Oreochromis niloticus: one gene and its partner. The protein of the gene in region 2 interacts with the protein of the main gene of each other region in a biochemical or structural test. Links are inferred from orthologs where the notes say so. Each region holds a gene or a part of one and is shown on either strand. Other genes may lie near its edges.

Region 1 (7,732 bases), on a different chromosome or scaffold from region 2:
ATATTCCGAGGCTACTAACCGGAGCCGTTTTTAACCACTAATCCCTAAATACTCTTTTTACATATTAGTGTAATGGTTTACATACATGCCTAACAAGTGCTGATCCTGGGAGGAGACACAAATCTCTGATGTAGTTAGAATCTAGTGTGTCTGTGTGTGTTTTAATTATAGGTATTAAAACTTTAAATAATAATAACTGTTTAAAAAAAAAAAAAAAGACAAATAGTTCAGGAACTGCTTTCATGGTTATTGTGTGTTCCCAAATTTCAACACTATTTAAGCTCAAACTGTATGTGGGTTATATGCAGTCAAACAGATGATTATCATCAAAATTCAAGGGAAAATTAAGGATAAGATCATCCTTGAAACAAAGCTGATGTTGAAAGGATCGAGTAGTGCTGATGTGGTAAAAAAAAAAAAAAAAAAAAATTTCCATTCACTGAAGACAAGACAGAGTCAGAAAATGTACAAATTTTATATTAAAAAGACATCTGAGGAGAATGATCACAAAACGAAAAATTCATTTTCACACAATGACACCAAAAATACTTCCTGATCTTTCTACTGTGGCTGTACAGCACTGGTGTACTTACACTGCTGCCTACAGCACACTCTAGTGGGGTTATGCAGGAGGTCAGTTTTATTACAAAGCCAGGAAATCTAAACTTTGCTACCATCTCAATTCTCGAGCTCAAGTAAATCACAGCTGGTTTCGGTAGTGTTTAACTCCGAGGTAATGTGAAACAATGAGCAAAGAAGTTTCGTGTGGACGAGCATGTGAGGATAATCGTTCTGCTCTGTCAGCAGCATGTGAGAGGTTTTAACTTGAGAAGATGCAGGCAGTTTATTTAGCAGTAGGAGTGTTTTAAAGTCACTGGCGGTTAAGCAGTAAATTAATGCACAGGAAGCCAATGTGGATACTAATTGTGCAAATGTTGTGTACTTCAACACCTGAAGACATTTCTTGTAATAATCCAACAGATTAACCACACTGAGTCTTTTAGCCAAATTAATTTAGGAGAAATAAAACATACTGCTGAGAGCACGCTGCTGTTGGACGGGGTAAACTACCTGGGAAATGTTTGTTTGGTGATGAAGCCACGTTATCGCTCGAACTACAGTGAAACCGTATCTGAAGTTACTTTTACATGATGTACTTTTAAAATCATGGCCCTTAACTTTTCGTTTTACCTGAACGAGTATCTCATGGAGGAATTAAAGAAGGAGAATCAAACTGGTATCGGTTAATCCTGTGATCATGGACAGTTAAATAAATACTGATGAGCATGAAAAACTCTTCTAAAGCTTGAACTTGAAAGTGACACTTATCATTATATAGCAGTTTAATTTAAGAGCAGGCCAACTTCTTTCAGCCTCACTTTGATTCAACTTCAGGAGAGTTTTTCCATCATGCGTGAATGAGTGCTTGAGGACCACCCAGCCAAATTTAGTCATATCTCCACATAAAGTCCAAATTCATTTTTACAGCTTCACAGTTTTTATCCAGAGAAGACCAATAAGAGCCTTTTTAATAACTTACAGTATCACATAAAATGAGATATTAACCCCAAAAAAGAAAAAAAAGAGTAGCAGAGTGGTCCTCACAGTCTCCATGATCACAGGAGTAATGCTTTTTGTTTTTTATTTCTTATCACAAGGATTTTTAGACAGCTTGTCCCACTGCCCTGACACAAACAGGTGATAAGTGGCAACTGAAAACACTACAGCACCCAGAAGTCTCCATTTGAGCTGATGAGAGACGGTCGCTACGACGAGAGGACATCAAAGCTCATCGTGGGTCATTTTTAGAGCGTGGTCACAGAGGTCTGCGGGACACACAGCACAGAAAACACAGTGAATTAACAGCTGAGCGCATGGGGAACATCAGAACAGAAAGAAATGTTTGCAGGTTGATGCATTTGGTCTCAACCTACCTGTCCTTTTGCTGCACAGTTTGTCTTTAACGTTGTCCGTTTCATGAGCGAAGAATTCGATGATTTCATCCTCGTGCTGTTCCACTATTGTTTCACACTGAACAACAAAGGAAAAATACACACTTAAACCACACCCTTTGTCTGTTTTTCTGTGCATTTCCTTGGGTTGTGCTGGAGGTCTAAGTGGGAAAAACTATACTCACTGCGAACTTCAAGCTGGCTGTAACCCTTGAATCCAGCGAGGCGTCTGACAGGTCCATGGCCTCGCCGCTCCGAGACTTGATCCTGACGTACGACTTCCTGTTTGTGGAGGGATCCGTGCGCTCGCCGTAGTCCCCCATCCTCTCGCATATGCTCTCCATCATCTCCAGGAGGTTTCCTTCTGAGCGTGCCAGAGGAACCTGGTGGTGTCAGAGTTCAGAAGTTATTTTTATTGCCAACCCACTGAAACTAACTGATATCTTTAAAATGAGATGATGGCCTTCAGAGGCAGGCGATGCTTTCTATAAAAGTTTGGCCCTGTTTTGTGGTCAACACTGTGTACTTATGATGTAGTCTACAGTGGGGGCTGAACCCAGACTACAACGTGGCTCTGCTACTGCAGCCTCACCTCTCTGATGGACTGACTCCCATCTGGATTGATCCTGAAAGATCCCGTCTGGATCATTTTCTTGGGGTCTATCTGGGAGATGGCCCACTCCATCTCGTCTACCAGAGCCCTGCAGGCTGAGGAGGGGAGGTGGAGTGTGGGTGCAGAAGTCAGACACCGATTAGATAAGGACTTTTCTTTGTGCGTGCGGCCGAGGCTCCGCGTCAAACCGGTTACTCACCTCCACATCTGAGGTCCTGTCCTTGTCTGGCCGCCTGGCTGGAGCTCAGGAGGAGACACGCAAGCAGGCAGTGTGTGAGCAGGAGAGCAGCTTCCCTCATTTTGCCTCTAAACGCGCACATTTCAGCATCACACAGGAAAACAAATAAGCAAAAAAAACATTCAAGTAAGTCGGCCGGAAGGCTCTCAGTCACCGTTTGCTACAAAAACCCTCTGTAGCTCAGCAGCCGGGTTACTAATACTGACACAGAGATGCACTTTATTCCACTTTTCATTCAACTTACTGTGTCTGTGGGCCGCCAGGAGAACACCTTTACGCTTTTCCACGCTGTTGCATCGTATTCGGTGAAATGTGGTGACGTAGCAACCGGGCTGCTGCCGGGGGTACGTGGAGCGGGAGACAGCTCGTGCAGCGCCCCCACGTGGGCGGGAAGATCCCAGCTGGCGCTCTACTCTGCAGCCAGGGTCATTTGTGTTGGACCAAGAGTGTCAAACATAAGGCCCGGGGCCCAAAATCGGCCCGGCAGACTCCTATCCGGCCCACTGAAGGTTTTTTGCAGTTTTTGAAGGAAGTGTTATATTTTTGACATTTAATTGTGTTTTCATAAGTTTTACAGCGTGTCCTGCTGTTAAGACTTCCATCAATGCCATACATATGATGCCAAAGTATTTAATTAATAGATAAACAATAACAATTAAAACCCAGTAAAATTCCTATTTTTTACTGGTTACAATCTGGTTGTTAAGTTCGATGTTACGGGTGACGTAGCTGACATTTCCGGGTCCAAATGCTCTTGAATAAACTAGAGATGGACCGATCCGATATTACATATCGGTATCAGTCCGATACTGACCTAAATTACTGGATCAGATATCAGAGAGAAATAAAAAATGTAATCCGATCCATTAAATATCACAAAAGCACCTCCAAAAACTTGCGACATGGCGTAACTCAGCTCATAACCTTAGCACGTCGGAACAGTATGCGTCACGTGATAAAGCGGCTGTGGCGTGCGAGACCTCTCGGCAGTCTGGTTGAGCAGTTGGAACCTCGCTACCAAACCGGCATTTCATCTCCAAGAACGTTATCCCAGAGAGAAGTAAAGCAAGTGTGTAAGTTCATCTCTGAATGTTTGTGAAGCATTCCCGCGTTAAGCTTAACAACCGATATATGGAGCGACTGCCTCTTCTCTCTCCCTCCCTCTCCTGTTGCTACTTCAATCATGAAACTGATCAATGATCAGTTGATCATGGCCCACTTTGCACCAGAAAGAGGAAACCAGCGGCTGAACAACAGCAGCGCGTTTAAGCTTGATAAGCTGTTGTTAGAATTTATTTAATATTACTTTCTACACCAGGATCTTTTTCTACGTAGCTGACGGCTGGTAACTGTGCAGGGGCGGGTCTAGCAAAGTTTTGCCAGGGGGGCGGTAGGGCATTAACAGGGAAAGGGGGGCACAAAGAAATACTTTTCTTTCTTATTCTCATTTAAAAAGTCTAGCTTAATAAAAAAATTATCTGAATCTTACACCCAGTTTTAATCTGATGTAAAATGTATAGAAGTCCATTACTGTCAATAGTAACTACTAAGTGTAATATATACCGTAGTAAGCTATAGTACTTTTTCCTTTGGGAAGGTACCATCTCTGCAGTCTGCAATTCTGTTTAATTATTGTAGAAAAATAATTGATTTCTGTGCATTTTTTTTACACATGCATTAAATTAAATTTGATTATGTCAATTAAACATCACGAGGCCGAGGGCAGGGGGTGGTTCCCTTTTTTTTTTTTTGCTGGGAGTTGGCAACCCTATTAGTAAGGTTGTTTAATATTTCTGCTAAGTACTCTTTAAAATACCAGAATAGGGAGGATGGTGTAGGTTTAAGTTTATTAGATTGATCAGTATTCTTGAACTATGAAAAATTTTGGGTGCAGTGTATTTTTTACATACAGGTATAACAGAATAGTTTTAGTGTTTTTTTGTTTGTTTTTTAAACTTGAGTATGAACTTATACAAAATGCAGCAAGATATTTAAAAAAGTGTTTCATTGATTATAAAATACACCATATCGGATTCATATCGGTATCGGCAGATATCCAAATTTATGATATCGGTATCGGACATAAAAAAGTGGTATCGTGCCATCTCTAGAATAAACAACGATGGCAGAACCAGTAACTTTGTTTACAATTACCTCCTTCTTTAGCAAGGCACCAATTAGGGTTAAAAGGGCCTTAATTCTTTCAACTCTAATAAAGTGGTCAGTGTATCTATTCTCCCAGGTGGTATTATTAGGCAGTAAAAAGAAGGCTTAGGGGTAAGCTAGCTAGCTGATGATTAAACATGATATGTTCTGTACTGGCTGATGTAGTTCATAAAACACACATGCATACAGCACTGCTATAACAGTGGAAGTAAACCAAGATGGAAATCTACAAAACAGGGAGATTTTGGAGAGTTAGTTATGTTAGCCAAGTTGAGATTATCTTCCTGCCCATTGGCTAGCTACAGTGGTACCGGTACACACAGCAGCACTGCCGGTGTTTGTTATAATGTGTGGGGTAAGCATTAATTTGCTTTCAATACGGGTGCATGTTGAGGGTCAGTCAGTGAGATTCAGCTCCAGTGAGTGTCTGATTGGCAAAGATAAGTGCCAATGTTGATTTAGGTGGAGAAGAATGTGTCTCACACTGACATGGAACGTGTGTGAAAGCAAAAGAAATTGCTGCCAAGAGTGTCTGAGATGACACCATCAACTGCACAAGGTCAGTCATTATTTAAAATTCTCTCTTTGTTCTAATTGTTTTCTTAATTTTATGTAAAGCATTGTGCTTTATATTGAGACACACACGTAGTCGTCATCAAAAAATGTCATTTAAGTGAACAGTCTTGAAGTGAATAGTCCTAAATAAATCCTGGGTATAGCATCTGACCTTGAAATTATTACTTGTTTAGATTACTACTTATTTCGATTACTAAGAAATATTTTTTGTTTTATTTTTTCAGCTGGAATGAAAAGACCTGTCACCCAGGAGGACAAAGAATGGGCACTGGCATCTCTATCAAAACATGGGCGTTTTACTGGGATGAGGTTGATTTTGAGTCCAGAAGGGCCTCGGGTAATTTGATATTTACCTTAATACATGGAATGAATTATACGTGTATGTGAACTCTTGTAAACTACAGACATCAGACTGTCTTCACTATCCCCACTTTAATTTTATATGTATTTTGTATATTCTATACTCTACTTTTTCTACTCTGTGCTCAAACATTCTTGGTCCCATTAAAACCTTTTCACATTGTATTTGTTTTTCCTTTTGCTTTAAATCTAGACTTTACCAGCCAAGACATTTGATGGATTGCTGAGGAACCTCAGTTTTGCCCAAGCAGAAGACAAGGCTTGCTATGTACTGGCATAACTGACTGTGACTGCGGAAGAGAAGAAACAGGTTGAGGAAGCAACAGTTGGGCAAACAAAGAATGTATTGTGATAAAAAAAAAAAAATTAAAAAAGGTGCCTTGAAATTAATTCTGTTAGGTGTTAAGCAAGAAGTTTGAGTGAACCGTCTCTCTTAATTTGTTTTTCTTAATAAAAGGGCAGCATATCACAAGAAGAGAATCATAGCCAGCAACTTAGGTTTGGTCCTGGGTACAGTCCAGCAGAGCTCATACCCTCCTTCCTTATTTAAGACTCTTGGCCAGTACAACCTAACAGTAAGTTGTTAGTAAAAACGGGTCTGTGCTTCTAAGAATGCATTTATAACTAAGTGATATTCTCATCCCCAAAGGCAGCTGTACACTGACTGTACTGGTGCAGTTGTTGAGGAGAGGGGACTGTTTTTATCCAACAGTGGCCTGCTTGGCAGTTCTCCAGATGAGACAGTCTCTGATGACTCCATCATTGAGGTGAAATGCCCATGGTCAGCCAGAACCAAAACTGTCTTGCAGGCTGCAGAAAGGAAGGACTTTTTCCTACAACTGGATGAGGCAAGTGATTCCCTGGTATTAAAAAAGCATCACAACTACAGAGGAACCTACATCTCACAGGGACCAACAGCTGTCACTTTATTGTTTGGACTCCATGTGACTTTGTAATCTTGCCTGTTGATAGAGAACAAACTTGGGCTGTTAACATTGAAACTTTGGAAATGTTCTTTTACCCAACAGTCTATCGCAGCTATGAATTTGTAAATATATTCAGATAAATTCTTAAAATTAAGTTTTGATTTTACCAAGAAAATGCTTTGGGCAAAAACTGTTCAGAAAACAAAGAGTAACACATTTATCTTGTAGTCCCTATTTTTAATGAAAATTATCGGCAAAACAAGTAAGCAGTAATCAGGAGGCTGGAATGAAATGAGCAATATAACAAACCATTGATGAAAAAACCCCAATTAGAGTACAATTAAACATTTTACCAATTACAACTGAAAATTCTCAACTTGAAACTATGCAACTAAGTTGTTGGTTTTTTTAATGATGTAACTTCCTGACTATATACACAAAACATTCCAGAACACTTAAAAGGTACAAACAATAAAAATAAACGTATTCAACAGTTGTACTGTCGGGTCCACAAGTATTTCGACAGTGACACCATGTAATTTTGCCTCTGCACTTTCACTGGTCTAATTCATGGATAACAGGAGTTTGTAAATTTGTAAGACACACACATACTTTCAGTATCTTATTAATATTTTTTCTGTAGTGATGTGGGACGAGATCCAAAATTGAGAAACGTTTCAGTCTTTGAATTGAATGCGCTACATGTGCTCTTGCACAGGAGATCAGCCTGTTATTGTTCACTTCCTGCTGTGTGAACTGTCCGCTGACGTGGAAAGACGGGGTGTTCAGAGAGACCCCCTCTGGGAGGATGTCCTGAATTGTGAAGTCTTTATCTGCAATGACCATGTCACCTGGTTGTAAATGTCGCAGTACTCCACATTCAGCTGTTATGGCCTTATCT
Region 2 (7,539 bases):
TATCTCTAAAAACTGATGCCAGCGTTTGCACGCTCACCCCTCATATTATATCACATCTGAGCAGACGGCTGGCATGAAGGCTGAGCCGAAATTAAACACCTAACCTCACAGCGTGGTGGAGTGTGACATGTGCGAGTATTTATTAGCAGCGACCCACCTGACCTTACCTGCAATTTAAAATCTTTATCTCACTTCTTTTCACCCCCCCCCCCCAAAGTCTTGAGCAAACACCAGCCATCTGCTGATAACTCCTGCTAATCTACTGGAGGTCAGAGCGCAGGCAGCCAAGTGTCCTCCGTGCCCTTAGCCCCCCTGACTGTCCTTTCACTTTCCTCTTCAAAAGGTTGCCAAATATGGGCTACAGTGGAGTGGAATATGAAGGTGGAGGGAGAAGAGCCAGACAGAGAGGAAATGGGAGTGGGCACAGTTTAATCACCCAACAGCAGCAAATAAAGAAACCGTAGAATTGCCCTCTTTTTACATTGGATAGAGCAGGGTGAAGGGAGAAGGAAGAGAGAGTCGGAGCAGTAGGCGAACCAGGGAACAACAGGGACAGTTTAGCTTAATAAATAGTTCTAGTGGAATGCTGCAGTTCAAGTGCTTCCTTGATTCATATCCGTGGTATCAAACACTCATCACGTCGCCCAGGGTGAACATAACATCGACTCCATCACACTAGTGTTCAAAACAAGTTTTTGGGACTCGTTTCAAGGGCTGAAAATTCACTTTCCATTTATAACTTCACAGTCTGTGGGCAGGGGACTACCCATTCAGACATGCCTGGGATCGTTACTTGTTTTTTTAAACTAGTTTGGCAGAGAAGGGCACATGTTAAAACTACATGTCAACTCACTGTAGCAGCAGCTTTGCTTGCCATTGTCTAATGACCAATAAAGCACAGAAAGTGAACAACAGTTATCCAAAACTTCAGCTGCAACCGTGTTTCTAATTGACGGCATATTCTCGCAAGGGAAAGCACTCCTTACACAAGCTTTTCCCCCAAACTGCATCTGCAGAAAAAACAGAAAACGGGAGGGCTTTTGTTCACGCAAAAAACGGCCATGGACAATCGAAACAAAAAGATATTTAGAGTTGAATGGGAGCAGTGACGAGAGGTCCTGGCTGTCACACAGAGGGTCCCTGGGGGTAGGCTCAGAGCAGCACACAGCACCAGAGCTGCTGGATCATATTTCCTCCCTGGCGCTTCACCAGAATGACCTATAGTAACCCCGGAAGGGCTTGGGGAAGAGGTTACTATAGGGCATTTTCGCTTTGTTGGAAACAGTGATCAGATTATGCTCTGGGAACTCGCCAATGGTGGCTTTGTTTTGTTTCCCCAAACACGTGCGCCTCATTAAAGTCATGTACATGAAAAAAAAAATAAGATGTTATTTCTTTGACCCGTTTTAGAGGAGATGACGAACACATTTACACACTCAAAACAATAAGAGGAAGTAGTTCACAGTTATAGCTGTTCTAAGGCCTATGAGCAAATTTCCTTGCGCACGGTGTCTTTACAGCGTGCGAGCTTTCAAAGTACCTCGTCTGCTCCTGCAGAATCAGATGGGGCTCCACGAAGAACTTGACCCGCAGCCTGAGCCGACAGGGTGTCAAATTATCCATCTGCTGGCTGATGCGGTTCCTCAGATTCAGCCACAGGTTTTCTCCTTTGCTGCCTGTGAACTGCAGCCCAAAGTAGTCTACTTCGATTATGCCCAACTTTCTGCAAACCTGAAGAAAGACGAAACAAGCAGGGGGGGGGTGTCACAAAAAACACACACACGAAGTGAGACGTGAAGCTTTTCACCACAGGACAGCGACAGCTGGTGAAGAGCTCCTTTAAAGAGGCAATCAATAACTTTTCTTGTCATGTGGAAAGTGACGAGAACCAACTGAGTAAAGTCCCACTGGACTTTTTTTTTATTATTATTTTTACAAGGAAATTCACCAGTACTGCTGTTACTGCAGATACTCCGACACACAAACCCCCATCAATATTCTGAAGCTCACGAAGTGAACTTGGAGCCCCTCCCGGGGTACAGGGGCTCATCAAGCCCGCAATCCCACGCTCCTCCGGCGGCAGCAACCATGGGTTTATTACATAACTGCTGCTGAAAGTCTGCACAGGGAGCCAGGAGGCTGAGATAAAACTCGTTCTGTGCATATTAAATAGATTAACATCATAATGAGGAGGGGAAATGGCAATCAAAGGAAATAACAGTTACTACTGTGTCCATGTTGAGTTGGGGGTGGTGGTGGGTAGAGATGTGAAAAGCTAAGTTTCATCTTGAGAGGCGGCAGGATGACCTGGAGTAACCTGCACAAAGCCATCTGCCTCTGACTAAGCGAAGGAGCCTGAAGTGGCAGTCGGCAGCTTCCCAGCAACCTAACAAAACTTTTCTCTACGTGTTTCAGCCCCGTGGCTTTTTGACAGAAGTGACACTTTAGAGGGTTTGTATTATTTAAAAAAGAAAGAAAGAAAGAAAAGAAAAACACGAAAGAAGAAAAAGTTGACCTTTTTTCTGCACTTGGCGCTCAGAACATTGTTTCCTCAGTCCTTGTTTGCTACAAGCAACAAAGCAGGTGACAGTTTTGTTGTAGCTTAAAGCTGAAGCTCACTGAAGCTGTGGCGAATTAATTAATTAAAGAAATAAAAACAAATAAAATCTTCTAATCGTGCAGAAACTTGGCTCTTCGGTCTTATTCACCACATTTAGTCGACTCATAAATGAATGCGACACATTAGAGGTGAAGTTGACAGAAACATAAGAAAATATTTTTCTGACAACCCGAGCCGTGCTGCCTCACCGACGCACATACGGCGACGTGTTATTCTCACATGAAGACACAAAGAAGAATAAAACGTGCTGTCCGTCTTTACCTTGTTGAGGCAATCTTCACCGTTCGCCTTCGCATCAACTTCCACTTCCATCACCACCGAATCCGGACGAGTAACGTGGCAGAGCATTTTGGCTGTTTGTTTCTGGAAATCTTTGGTGTGCCACTCTTTAAAACAATCAACCAACTCTCGAGCCTTCGCTTAAAAAACAACAACCCCTCTACATCAAGCCGTCATCACTTTCTTAGCCCTTTCACTCCGTTTGGTGTTCGCGGCCACCAGCTGTAGGGTATATCAATGAAACGCCGCGCACAGCACCGCCTATTTGACACTCTGAGCCAATGAGAAGTGGCGTATCATCCGCACACCGCTCGGGCTCGAGCTCGCCTCCCGTGCCTTGAACTGCGAGGAGTCCACTGCGCCCTCACCTGGCTCGCCTGTTGCATGCACCTGAACTCACCTTGTCCTCGTGGCTGTGATGTTTCAGCGAGCTCGTGCGGATCTCCGGGTGAGTTTAATGGCTTGTGTACCGTCAACCCTTCGTTTCGTGTGAATAATGTATGTGGAAGCAGTCCAGAAATAACTCCCATAACTGGAGCGCATTCAGCTTCGCTGGTTTGCTGTTTTCCATCCAAAGCTTTTTGTGATTTTTTTTTAATATATATTAGCAACTTCAACTTTTCCATAACGCTGCTGCGTTTGAGTGTTGGAGAACGTGAAACTGTTTGATTATAGTGTGTCAAGGTGGGGGAAAGGTCAAGATAAAACGGCTAAGAGAGACTTAATAATTCAGCCTGCTCTACCTCATCATTTCTTCACATCTTGCTATTTCATGATATATTATTCAGCATCAGTGTGTAGTGATGCCAGATAAGACACTGCAGAAAGCTGCAGCCACACTTAAACTATGGAGGCATAGTATTCAGCCAAGCTCTGAGTTTGTCTGCCAGCGGACATTTTAGAGTAGATGCAGTGTGCCTCTCTATGTTTTTCTACTCCCTGGCCACTGCATTACTGCCTCGCTGAGTCCTAAAAACACTCACTTCATCATTCAGATATTGTATTAAAGCACTTACTTGGAAGGGATGTGAAAATAAGATTCAGCTTTACATACTGCACATTTAAAGATGTATAATGTGTTCCGTGGCCCTTTTATTTGGATCACTTTTTGAATGCCAAAAAGCACTGACACTTTTCTTCAAATGAAGTAATTTCCTGGCAGCCGTGTTTTTGTCTGTACTAGCTTCCGATTTATCACATTTAAATCTTACCTGAGGATCCAGGTTTCATTTATTTAAACCATGAAAATCCTTGCGACACGAGGAAAGTGATTTCACCCAAACTCGGGTTCCGGATAGATTTTGCCAATCTGGGTAGCACCATAAATTTTTATTCGCGCTCCAAAAACACAAACAGAGTAAACAGGTATGCGACAGTGGGAAGGAAAAACTCCCTTTTAACGAGGAGAAACCTCAGGCAGAGCCAGGCTCAGGGAATGGCAACCATCTGTTGCGACAGGGAGTGAGGAGAGGATGATGGGACAAAAGACACGCTGTGGAAGAGGGTCAGAGATTAATAGTAACTAATGATTAAATGCAGAGAGGTGTGTAAACACATAGAGAGTGAAAAGAGGTGAGTGAAGAAGAAACACTTAGTGCATCATGGGAAGACCCCTTCAGCCTAGACTTTACGCAGTAGAGAGGATTAATGGGTCACCTGATCCAGCCCTGACTATAAACTTTATCAAAAAATAAAGTTTTTTAACAGTTTAATCTTAAAAGTAGAGGGTGTGTTTCTTTCCCAAATCCAAACTGGGAGCTGGTTCCACAGAAGAGGGGCCTGAAAGCTGAAGGCTCTGGGTCCCATTCTACTTTTAAATACCCTAGGAAACACAAGTAATCCACAAGTCTGACAACAAAGTGCTCTGTTAGGATAGGTACTAAGAGGTCTTTAAGATATGACATGGCCTGATTATTCACGATTTTGGGAGAAAGATATTAAATTGAATTTTAAATTTAACAGGGATTTATCAGAAGAAGCCAATATGGAAGAAATATGTGCTCTTTTTCTAATCCCTGTCAGTACTCTAGCTGCAGGATTGTGGATCAACTGAAGTCTTTTCTGGGAGCTTTTAGAGCGATCCAATAATAATGAATCACAGTAGTCCAGACTAGAAATACTAGGTTTTTATTTTTGATCACATCAGATAAAATCAGTATGAGAAATGTTATTATTCTCATTTCAGGCATTATCAATTTCTCTTCCCTTCAACGACACATCGCTGCCTATATTCAAACGTCGACTCAACAGATTTTATCTGATGTAACATGTATGTGTGTCTTTCTGTGTGTGAGAATGTCAGCCAGCTTGGAGTAGGCAATGTCCTTTTGCCCCGAGGTGATGCAAGAAAGTGTGCAGTGAATGAGCAGAGAGACGTGACGTCTGAGCAGCCACCCGGACCATAAATGGAAAAGCAAGCATATAGCCAGTGACCTACCATTCGCTGTTAGTCTGGGACTCACTGAGCAGACTGCCAAACACATACTCTACTACTGCTACAACACACAGAGCTCCAGCAGAAGCACAGCTGCTGTTGCTGTTATTGGTTTACGCTTTCAAAAATTCTCTCTTTGTCCTACAGCACCCCAAAATAAAGTAAACACATGCACACAAACACAATTAGACGAATGAACCAATATTTATGGCAAACGCAAAAACATCTGGAGCAACTCAGTGATTTTATTCATTCTTTTATTTTTCACTTTAAGTATTTTATGCTTTATTTACCCAATTAGTTAATGTATATTTTGGTAGCCTGTGACAAAAATAGACAAACTATTTTCGACGCATGTCATCGCAACTGTAGCACAAAGAATAAAGCATAGAAAGGAAAATCATTATCACGACTACCATGTTGCACATCTAGGTCAATTTCAAGGGTAGGGCATCTATTTTTTTTTTTCCTTCCACCATCTGCGCTCTTGCACAAACACAGACCATTTGTAGACTCCTGGTTCGAGGCTAGGTATGACATCATGCAATGTGACATCACTTCCCTTTGAGGCAAGTCACATCTCACTCGACTGAAGCATGCATGCAGGGGATTTGTGCAAGAGTGTGTGTATGTGTGCATGTGGGCACATGACATCACAACGTCATCACTGCCCAGCTCCACTGGCATAGCTGTGCCTGTTGAAGCAGATATTATGTCAGAATGTGCCATGCTAGCAGAGCTGCTGCGGCTGCTGTTGTTGTTGTGATAGCTGTTACTACTTCGCTTCTTTTTCTGTCAATCTGTCGCTGTTAAGCCAAAGGAAGAGTAGTACTGGGCAGCTGGAGGAGAGGAATTGTTTACCAAAGTATGAGGAGAGGCCAGAGGGCGATCAGCTCCTCTGAGTCTGAAGAGAATCATCGGCCATGGTCGAAAGACTCAAAGGATCGGTCGTCACCGTGTGGACGCTCGTCAGAGGGAGATTCATCGTCGGAGTCTGATGTGGAGGCAGAAAGAGCAATGAAGAGGAGCCAGAGGTTCAGCAGTTCTTTCAGCTTTGGGGAGGATCAGGAGGTAGCGTCAAAAAATGAAGGTGAAGAAGAGGAACAGTCACCAAAGAACTCGAACAGAGTTTCCGTCAGAGAGGTGGTGGAGTCGGATTCTGAAGGAGAACATGCAGAAATGGAGGAAAGAAACAGTTTTTGTGACACAGATCAGCCAAGGTCAGGTTTATTCAGGCCTCAAGAATTATGGCTGGCGGTGACAAAATGTCTCTCCCTCCGGTGGCCTCCTTGTCTGTCCATCAGCAGACAAAGTAATAAGAAATTAGCCTACCAAGTGGATCTTGACCAATTGGAGGACACACAGTCATCTCTCACCTCAGAATCAACCAATGAGAGTTCTTCTAGTACATCTGCCTCAGATGGCAGAGATGTGTCTTTGGTGAAGCAAAAGGAAGACGATGTCAGAAGCAGAGGGGTTAAAGGTGGCCCTCCCACTCGTCGAGGGGTGTCTCGGTCCTCTCCCAGATTACCAAGAAACAGACAAGCTGCAGACTCTGTGCTGGCTTCGATGATGTTGGAGAAAGAAATGTTCCTGAGGATTGAGCTTGTTGATTCAGGAGAAGAGAGGGATGATTTACGCTACCGGGCAGAATGGAAGTTGTCAGAGAGAACTAAGGAACTGGCAGAGGGAGTGTGGCTCTCTCGAAGCCTAACAGCTAATAGACTGACCTCTTAAATTAGAGGTTTGGTTGTCTTTGATGTGGTGGACTTCATACCATGCACCATGTAGGTTAATTATATTCAAATCTTAGTTAGTGTGACTGCTGATTAGAAATGGCCCAGATTTCAGTGAATAATCAGTGAGATTGTTTTTGCATGAAGACTGTGTAAACCGCCGCCTGCTGATATAAACTGTGCTGATTCAAATGCAGTCACTGTGGCTAACTAATTAGAAATGCTATTTTCAGAAACGCAGCGCTGCACAGTTAGTGTCAGTGTTTATTTTTTGCCTTTCTGGGTGTCTGAGAAAATATTATACACATGGCTGGTTCCATGCATGGGAGGAAAGGGAGATTTAATCCAATATATCATGTGTTTATGAATAAAAGCCTTTTTTTGCAACCTGGAGTTTGTTTTTATGAGTAGTGAGAAAACAGTAAAACCACAGACTGTCATACCATGCTTAAATTTGAAAATAAATACAT

What was found.
Region 1: the proteins of mylipa (region 2) and cnpy2 form a complex in vitro, tested with the Homo sapiens proteins (2 studies listed by BioGRID). The link is inferred for Oreochromis niloticus from reciprocal best matches to the Homo sapiens genes MYLIP and CNPY2.

The regions. Positions count from the first base shown.
Region 1 is NC_031970.2:24,734,061-24,741,792, reverse strand, and holds cnpy2 (protein canopy homolog 2), read right to left. Parts: upstream 3,042-7,732; 5' UTR 2,886-3,041; coding exon 2,765-2,885; intron 2,661-2,764; coding exon 2,545-2,660; intron 2,336-2,544; coding exon 2,138-2,335; intron 2,032-2,137; coding exon 1,935-2,031; intron 1,827-1,934; coding exon 1,783-1,826; 3' UTR 457-1,782; downstream 1-456. Other genes in the region: uncharacterized protein LOC100690178, read right to left, coding at 7,387-7,732. UniProt on the Homo sapiens protein: Positive regulator of neurite outgrowth by stabilizing myosin regulatory light chain (MRLC). It prevents MIR-mediated MRLC ubiquitination and its subsequent proteasomal degradation.
Region 2 is NC_031985.2:20,357,764-20,365,302, reverse strand, and holds the start of mylipa (E3 ubiquitin-protein ligase MYLIP-A), read right to left. Parts: upstream 3,122-7,539; 5' UTR 2,969-3,121; coding exon 2,882-2,968; intron 1,732-2,881; coding exon 1,541-1,731; intron 1-1,540. Other genes in the region: dtnbp1b (dystrobrevin binding protein 1b), read left to right, coding at 3,284-3,347, 6,148-7,070. UniProt on the Homo sapiens protein: E3 ubiquitin-protein ligase that mediates ubiquitination and subsequent proteasomal degradation of myosin regulatory light chain (MRLC), LDLR, VLDLR and LRP8. Activity depends on E2 enzymes of the UBE2D family.